Canis lupus familiaris: one gene and its partner. The protein of the gene in region 1 purifies or fractionates together with the protein of each later gene. This does not show direct contact. Links are inferred from orthologs where the notes say so. Each region holds a gene or a part of one and is shown on either strand. Other genes may lie near its edges.

Evidence for each region. Proteins that work in one complex are often made in the same cells at the same time.
Region 2: the proteins of FGF11 (region 1) and SIRT1 purify together in Homo sapiens (affinity purification with mass spectrometry; 3 studies listed by BioGRID and IntAct, with this or other methods). This does not show direct contact. The link is inferred for Canis lupus familiaris from reciprocal best matches to the Homo sapiens genes FGF11 and SIRT1.

What each region holds. Positions count from the first base shown.
Region 1 is NC_049226.1:32,573,712-32,577,828, forward strand, and holds the start of FGF11 (fibroblast growth factor 11), read left to right. Parts: upstream 1-1,305; 5' UTR 1,306-3,028; coding exon 3,029-3,221; intron 3,222-4,117. Other genes in the region: TMEM102 (transmembrane protein 102), read left to right, coding at 1-962.
Region 2 is NC_049225.1:19,918,923-19,922,438, reverse strand, and holds part of SIRT1 (NAD-dependent protein deacetylase sirtuin-1), read right to left. Parts: coding exon 3,480-3,516; intron 2,773-3,479; coding exon 2,693-2,772; intron 1,615-2,692; coding exon 1,428-1,614; intron 1-1,427. UniProt on the Homo sapiens protein: NAD-dependent protein deacetylase that links transcriptional regulation directly to intracellular energetics and participates in the coordination of several separated cellular functions such as cell cycle, response to DNA damage, metabolism, apoptosis and autophagy.

The DNA.
Region 1 (4,117 bases):
GTCCCAAGGACCGGCAAAGCCCGGTAGACCAGCCGCACGATGGCACTGAGCCTGAGCCAACCGTGTCTTTGGATCAATCATCTGGACCAGAGGGACAAGACGTAATCGATCTGGAGCTTTCCACCCCACTGAAAACCCTGAATGGTGACCTCAGGAAAGCAGCGGTCGTCAGCCCCATCCCCTGGCCCTCGGAGCGTTGGGAGGCGTGGCCCACACTCTGCCCCGCCCAGGTGGCTGCGTGGTTCTTCGCTTCACTGGCCGCGGTCGCAGAGTCCCTGTTCCCGGTCCCGGGGGCCCCACGTCTGGTCCACGCAGCGCGCCACGCGGGGTTCACCACCGTCCTCCTGGCGACGCCGGGGCCCCCGCGCCACCTCCTGCTCTTCGACCTAATTCCCGTAGTGTCCGTGGCCGGCTGGCCCGAGGGAGCCCGGAGCCATTCGTGGGCCGGGCCGCTGGCCTCCGAGTCGGCATCCTTCTACCTGGTGCCAGGCGGCCACACCGAGCCGCCGGGCGCCTGCGGCTGGCAGCTCTGCTTCGCCCGCCAGGAGCTGGCGCTCAAGGCGCGCATCCCCGCTCCGCTGCTGCAGGCGCACGCGGCGGCCCAGGCGCTGCTGCGCCCGCTGGTGGCCGGGACCCGGGCCGCGGCGCCCTACCTCCTGCGGACGCTGCTCTACTGGGCGTGCGAGCGGCTGCCCGCGCTCTATCTCGCGCGGCCCGAGAACGCGGGCGCCTGCTGCCTCGGGCTGCTGGATGAACTGGGCCGTGTGCTCGAGGCCGGGACACTGCCCCACTATTTTCTGAGCGGCCGAAAGCTCCGCGCGGGGGACGGCGCTGCCGCGCTGCTCGGGGCGTTGGCCCGGCTCCGCGGGGACCCTGCCGGGGCCCTGCGCGCCGCGGTGGAGGAGGCTAAGGCTGCACGCAAGGGGGGCGGCTTGGCCGGCGTGGGAGGCGGGGCCCATTAAAGACGCTGCTCCTACCCGCGTGGACAAGTGCTTCTGTTGGCCAGCGGGATGTGGTGGGGGCTGCTAGCCCCTCGCCGAGGTCACGCGCTGAGTGCCTTGGGCCCGAAGAGCACAGCCTGGAAGGCCTCCTCGGGGCTTCTCCCCATCCTCCTGCCCCGTTCCTGGCCTAGGTCGTCCCATTTCTGGCATCTCTACTCAGATCTGCTGCCAGCACACCTCCCAGCCCGGCGCATCCTCTGGCAACCATCTTCCCCAGTTTTTCTGGTCTTTTCTCTTAGGAGTCAATTGGGAAGGGGTGGGGGGGGGGTGTATATTTGCTGACAAGACGCAAAAGGAGGGTGTGGAGACCCGGGACTGATCAATTTGGCTCACACAAAATCGGAGAGATTGAGGGCCGGATTGCGCCCAGGGCTGGCTCTCACCACCACCCTCGCCTACTCCGTTATTACCCCGTTTCCCTCATTCGTTTCTGCCCTCCCAAGCCGGGCAGGAGGGACCCTCTCTCCATTCTCCCAGCGTCCGCCATTCCATCTATCCGAAGCCCAACCTCCCCTCCCATCTAGGGCTCCGTTCAGTGGAGTCACCTCCTTGTCTCCTCCTCTGAACCCCCAAGACGGGCGGCCTTGCCTCGGCTCCGCCCGCCTCCGAGACCGTCCCCACTCCTGGCCTCCGAGGAACCCTGGGGTTCCGCCCGCCCGGCTGCACTCCCCTTTTCCCGGCGTCTCCGCCCCCTGCCCCGCCCCCAGGCCGGCTCTCGGAGGAGGGAGAGCTGCTGTCGCCGCCGCCGCCTCAGCTTCTCGCTGCCGCTGCCGCTGCCGCCGCTTGGTCCAGCCGCCCGGCCCAGTGCTCTGACTTCGCCGGACCCGGGCGCTCTGCGGAGACATCCTTCCTCCTTCCTGGGGGTCCGGGGCGCCTAGCCCGGCGTTGGGGGAAGCTCGGCTGGCGAGGGACAGGGAGGGAGGAGCCTGGAACAGAAGCCAGCGCCACCCGTCGCCGGATCAACGAGACAGGACAGGTCGAGGGGCGTCGGGGAAGGAAGAGGGGGTGCTCTAGGCTGTCCCGGGGAAGATGAGAAGCCCTGTCGCAGAAAGCTCTGATGCACTCTGACTCGTAGGGGGCCTGTTCACATTCGGGAACTGGTAATAACGTGGGTGCACTCCTCTGGGAGGGGGCGTGGGATCTAAACAGCACCAGCTGTCCCCGAGGAAATTAAGGGGCAATCAGAAAAAAAAAAAAAAAAAAAAAAAAAACGGATGCTCCCTATTTCGAGGTGACAGAGGCCCTCCAGACAACCACTTGGTGTATCCACTGGGAAGGGTGGATTTGGAGGTGATTTCAAAAGGAGTGGAGGGTAACAAGGTGAGGAAAGGGGATCAGCAGCTGTACCATGTGCCACTAGAAATGGGGGTGACTTGGTGAAAACAAGGTATTGTCCAGAGACAGGGCCCAGGAACCCCTAGTCGCTGAACGGGGACAGCCTGGGTTTTCCCAGACATAGTTTTGGGGGACTTAACTGGAAAAAAAGTGGAGGATCCTTTCCATTTAGAGGGTGGCAAAGGCACGAAGGTTGGGTCCCTCCCTCACACTGACAGTGCCCCAGTAGGGATGGGGTTGAGCTAATATATTCAAAGCTAAGGACTTGAACCCTTTAGATTATAGAAGTGGATTTTGGCAGTGCAGGTCCCCAAAATAGGGTGGAAAGATGGCTGGGGGTAGTGGAACCACATCTTGGGAATTTTGAGGGTCTTCACGTTGGCCTAAGGGATCTGGGGACGGGTAAGGAAAGAACAGGAGAGGGAGTAGTTTTCGGTAGGGGCCAAAAGTCGAGGGTGGGGTCGACAGAGATTTACAGGCTGCTGGGTAGAGTGGAGCTAGAACGGGGCCCAAGGGTGGGAGCCAGCAGCTGGAGGGTGGGGAGGCCTGGGGCTTATCCTCGGGTCCTGTGGGTGAGGCGGTGAGTTGGGACCTCAGCGTCAAGAGCATGCCCTGGTGAGCGGGCTTCTCTTTGAGGAGCCCAGCGCGCTCCGGGCGCCTGCCAGTTTGGGGGTTTCTCCTCCCGGGGCGCCATGGCGGCTCTGGCCAGTAGCCTGATCCGGCAGAAGCGGGAGGTCCGCGAGCCGGGGGGCAGCCGGCCGGTGTCGGCGCAGCGGCGCGTGTGTCCCCGCGGCACCAAGTCCCTTTGCCAGAAGCAGCTCCTCATCCTGCTGTCCAAGGTGCGACTGTGCGGGGGGCGGCCCGCGCGGCCGGACCGCGGCCCTGGTGAGTGTCTGGAGCGGGGTCCCCGGGCCTGGGGTCTCTCCGCCTGGGAGGTTGAGGCCAGGGACTCCGAAGGATGGGGCCCGACTGAGGGGGTGGTCCCCGAAAGTCAAGGAGGGTGGGCCGGGACCACACAGTATCTGCCACACCGTGCCTCAGTTTCCCTTCTCTTTTGCCCATAACCCCGAGTCTCCTTGCTGTCGAAGACAAGGGGAAAGCTTTGAGGGGCTAGGTCCGGGCTCCCGAGCCTCGCGGCCCCGGGTCGCCCCCCCCATCCGACGCAGGAGTCCCCACCCCCACCGTCCGCTGCCTACGTGCCGGCTCTCGCGATTCTTTCAAAGCCGAGCGGAGGGGCCTGGGGGTTCCGGACGCCTGGGTCACCCCGAGGGTTTCTGCAGCTCCGGCAGCCCCGCCCCCGCCCCGGTTCTCCCGCTCCTCCACGCCTTGGCTCCGTTCCTGCTGGCCGTGCCCGCCTGGCTGGGCGCCAATCTCCCCAGCTCTCCCCCGGGTGTCCTTGCAGCCACCTCGCCAGCCCGCCCCTCCGAGCGCCCTCCTCGGTGACCTGCGCTCTAAGAGGGGAGCCGGCCATACCCCCAGAACCCACCCTCTCCCGGCGACTCCGAAACCCGCTCGCACACGCTCGGGGGACCCTCCGCCGCGAGGAACTCAGACCCAGCACGGGCCGAGAGACCCGCTCGGAGACTGGGGGGTCGTACCACCTGCGAGGGGGTACGAGGAAGTCGGCCGGGAGCCAGCGGCAGGGGAGGAGAGTTGTGAGGGTTGGCGCGTGGTCCCCGTCCAGGCACGGGCGGCGGGAGTCCCTCTGGCCCGGCTCCCGCCCGCGGCCGGCTCCCCGAGGGGTAGCCCCCTCGTGCCCTCCTCACCCCGCCGCAGGCCCT
Region 2 (3,516 bases), on another chromosome or scaffold:
AGCCATTACATATTGGTAGGGAAAAGATACAGAATTGTAGAGCTGAACTCCTGTTTCTTCCAACTGTTTGCTCTGGCTCTATGATTGCTCGTGTAGGATTCTAATTTAATTCTCTGATTAAGAGATTGATATTTTGGGTGGCGCAGTCAGTTAAGCATCCAACTCTTGGTTTTGGCTCAGGTGGTCATCTCCGGATCAGAGATCAGTCCATGTGGGTCTCTGCACTTAGTACAGGTGTCTGCTTGAGATTCTTTTTCCCCTCCTTCTCCCTCCTCCTGTTCCTTCCTTCTGCTCTCACATGCTCTAAAATAATAAAATCCTTAAAAGTTCAATATTCTCTCTCTCCTCTCTTCTCTCATCTTTAGGGCACACCTGATGTTAATGAATTAGTCCCCTCTAACTTCCTCTCCCCTTGCTTCCTCACTAGAGGGAGAAAAGAAATAATATGAGAGTACATGTTAAATATTCCTGAGAGTAAACAGGACTTAAAATTGTATTTGAGCATTTTCATATACAAACACCCTTATAGGTAAAACTGATCCACATACAATGATTTCTTTTTGAAGGTTTTATTTATTTATTTATGAAAAACACAGGGAAAGGCAGAAAGACATAGGCAGGAGGAGGAAAAGCAAGCTCCATACAAGAGCCCAATGCGGGATTCAATCCCTGAACTCTGAGATCACATCCTGAGCCGAAGGCAGATGCTCAACCACTGAGCCACCCAAGCATCCCCCACATACAATGTTTAGGACAAGGCATGACTGTTACTTTTGTGAGACAGAGAATCCTAAGCAGGCTCCACACCCAGCACAGAACCTGATACAGGACCAGACCTCATGACCCGGAGATCATGTTCTGAGCTGAAATCAAGCGTCAGATGCCCAACCAACCGAGCCACCCAGGCACCCTAAAACATGACTGTTATTCTTATAAAAACAAGACTATATTGAGCCCCCAAATTCTCTAACATATTACAATTCTATAGATTACATTCATATCTAGCTATACATTTGAACTTATTAAACCTAATATCAACTAAATTTGAAAGATAAACTATAATCTAAGACTAGAAATAACAAAAATTAAGGACTGTTTCCTAAGCATAGGTGAATTAGCTGAAGCTAACTCCTGTCATATAAAAAATACATTCTGCTAAAAGTTGAACTATTTCCCTTTGTCTTAATTTTTCATACACATCACAACTTGACATTACTTCTGCTTTGATAAGCCTCTCCCACACCCCCTACATCAAAATGTCATATTAACCAATCTTCGTGAATGTTGAGTATCAGCTAAAAAGTAAAGTTTGGCTCTTCACCACTCTTTAACCTGAAAGAGAATAAGATCATTGGGTCCACTGTACAAACCCCACAACCTATGGCCATCTATACAGAAATATTCTCTAAAAATCATCAGCTACTTACTTGGAATTAGTGCTACTGGTCTTACTTTCAGGGAAGACCCAATTACAATGAGGAGATCAACTTCGTCTTTGTCATACTTCATGGCTCTATGAAACTGCTCTGGTAAATTTTCACCAAAAAAGACAATCTCTGGTTTCATGATAGCAAGTGGCTCATCAGCTGGGCACCTAGGACAACGAGGAACCACCTACGTGTTCCAGATTTTGGTTGAGATTGGGGGGAGGGGGAAAGCCCAAGTTAGAAATAGTCAACATTTACACACTTCGCAAGAACACATTTCAAAATTATCAAGCTGAATCACTATATTGTACACCTGAAACTAATACTGTATGTTAACTACAGTAGAATTAAAATTAAAAACTTAAAAAACTAGAATTCCCACATAAAAAAAAGATGTGTTTTCAAGCTGAAGTGTGGAAGCATATGAAAAAGGGCCGTGTACTTAAATACTTAGGGGAAAAAAATTACCGAAGAAAACAGAAAACCTGTGGATAAGTAATAGGGAAAACTGGATACAACTCTCAATGGCAATGCCAAATGACTTTATCAACATACGATCAAATACAAAGATGTTAATATCTGAGTATGTAGCTATTATAATGTCCAGGAAGACACCTACATTTGATATTTAAGAGTCCACAGCAGATCAAGCATCTGTATATATGTATGCACAGGACTTAATCCTTTAAAAAACGTAAGAAATTATCCCTTTTTAATATGCTATTCTCCACTCATAATTATGTATAATTAACTATATATACAGCTAAGCACATGTAATTTATATCGGGATGATTTTTATTCTCTGTCATTATTTTCCTGAATTTGTGTTTTGGGGACAGTGATCATACATGAAATACCTTTTATAATAACTTTTTAAATATTTTAAAGGATTACCAAAAACTAAATTTAAGATTCAGAATCTGACAGGCACTAAAAAGGGAAAGTAAGAGAGACTTTTTTTTTTTTTTTTTTTTTTGAGAAACTCTAATATATCCAACACTTCACTTATGATTTGGGCTTTTAACTTAGATATTAAGAAGCCAATTTCATCATTTTAGAGACATTATTTATAGAGCAATGTTTTCAACTTAAGGGATTAAAAGGTTCTCGTATAGATCATCAGAATTCGCAATGCTAACATTATCTTCCTGGATCTTTCTGTATCACAAACTTTCAGAAAAAAAAATAAATAAGAAAAATGTGAAAGCAAAAGAAGAAACAGATCACAGATATGCACAATTTCTAAAATACAGGTGATAAATTACCTGATTAAAAATATCTCCTCGTACAGCTTCACAGTCTACTTTGTATTTACAAATCAGGCAAGATGCTGTTGCAAAGGAACCTAAAAAACAACACATGCACCGCTAAAAAAGATTTCTATTTCTTTAAACATACCACAAAGATTATAAAGTTTGACACCAGAAAAGAGAATTGACACTCCACAGGGGAAACTCAGGAATAAATAATTAAAATACAGACAGAATCCAATCCTCAATTATTGAGATGTTGACATAGTGACACTTCCTAAAGATGGTCTTTCAATGAAATAAACCAATTCCTTGAAAGTTAAAATCTGCAGAGTTGGAAGGTTGTAATTGTATGACCTTAGCTTAATTAACAGTTATACATAAAAAACGTAAGAAAATGGTCTGCTCCTACTTGTTGTTTTAGATTGGAAAGTCTTCTAAATATCTAAATTCTATACATCTGAATTACCCCATTCCTTTGGTTTCATAAACTAAACAGGTCATATTTTTCTTACATGAGTTAGTATTACTTTTGTAATCAAAGGAGGTTATTTAGAAGAATTTAATGGAATACAACCACTAAACCTTTTGAAACACAATAGGACATTAAGCTGATATTTTGTACAATTAAGTATCAAGGCCAATAATTCTGGTTTAAATTTTTTGCACCCCATTTTTTAAAACTTATCTACAACTAATCAGATAACATGACTAAATTTCCATTTCAGGAAAGCAGCCTACTTTCTAATCCTATTTTTTCCTATAAAACTAAATAAAAGAAATCAACTCTGAGGTTACTAACCATGACACTGAATTATCCTTTGGATTCCTGCAACCTG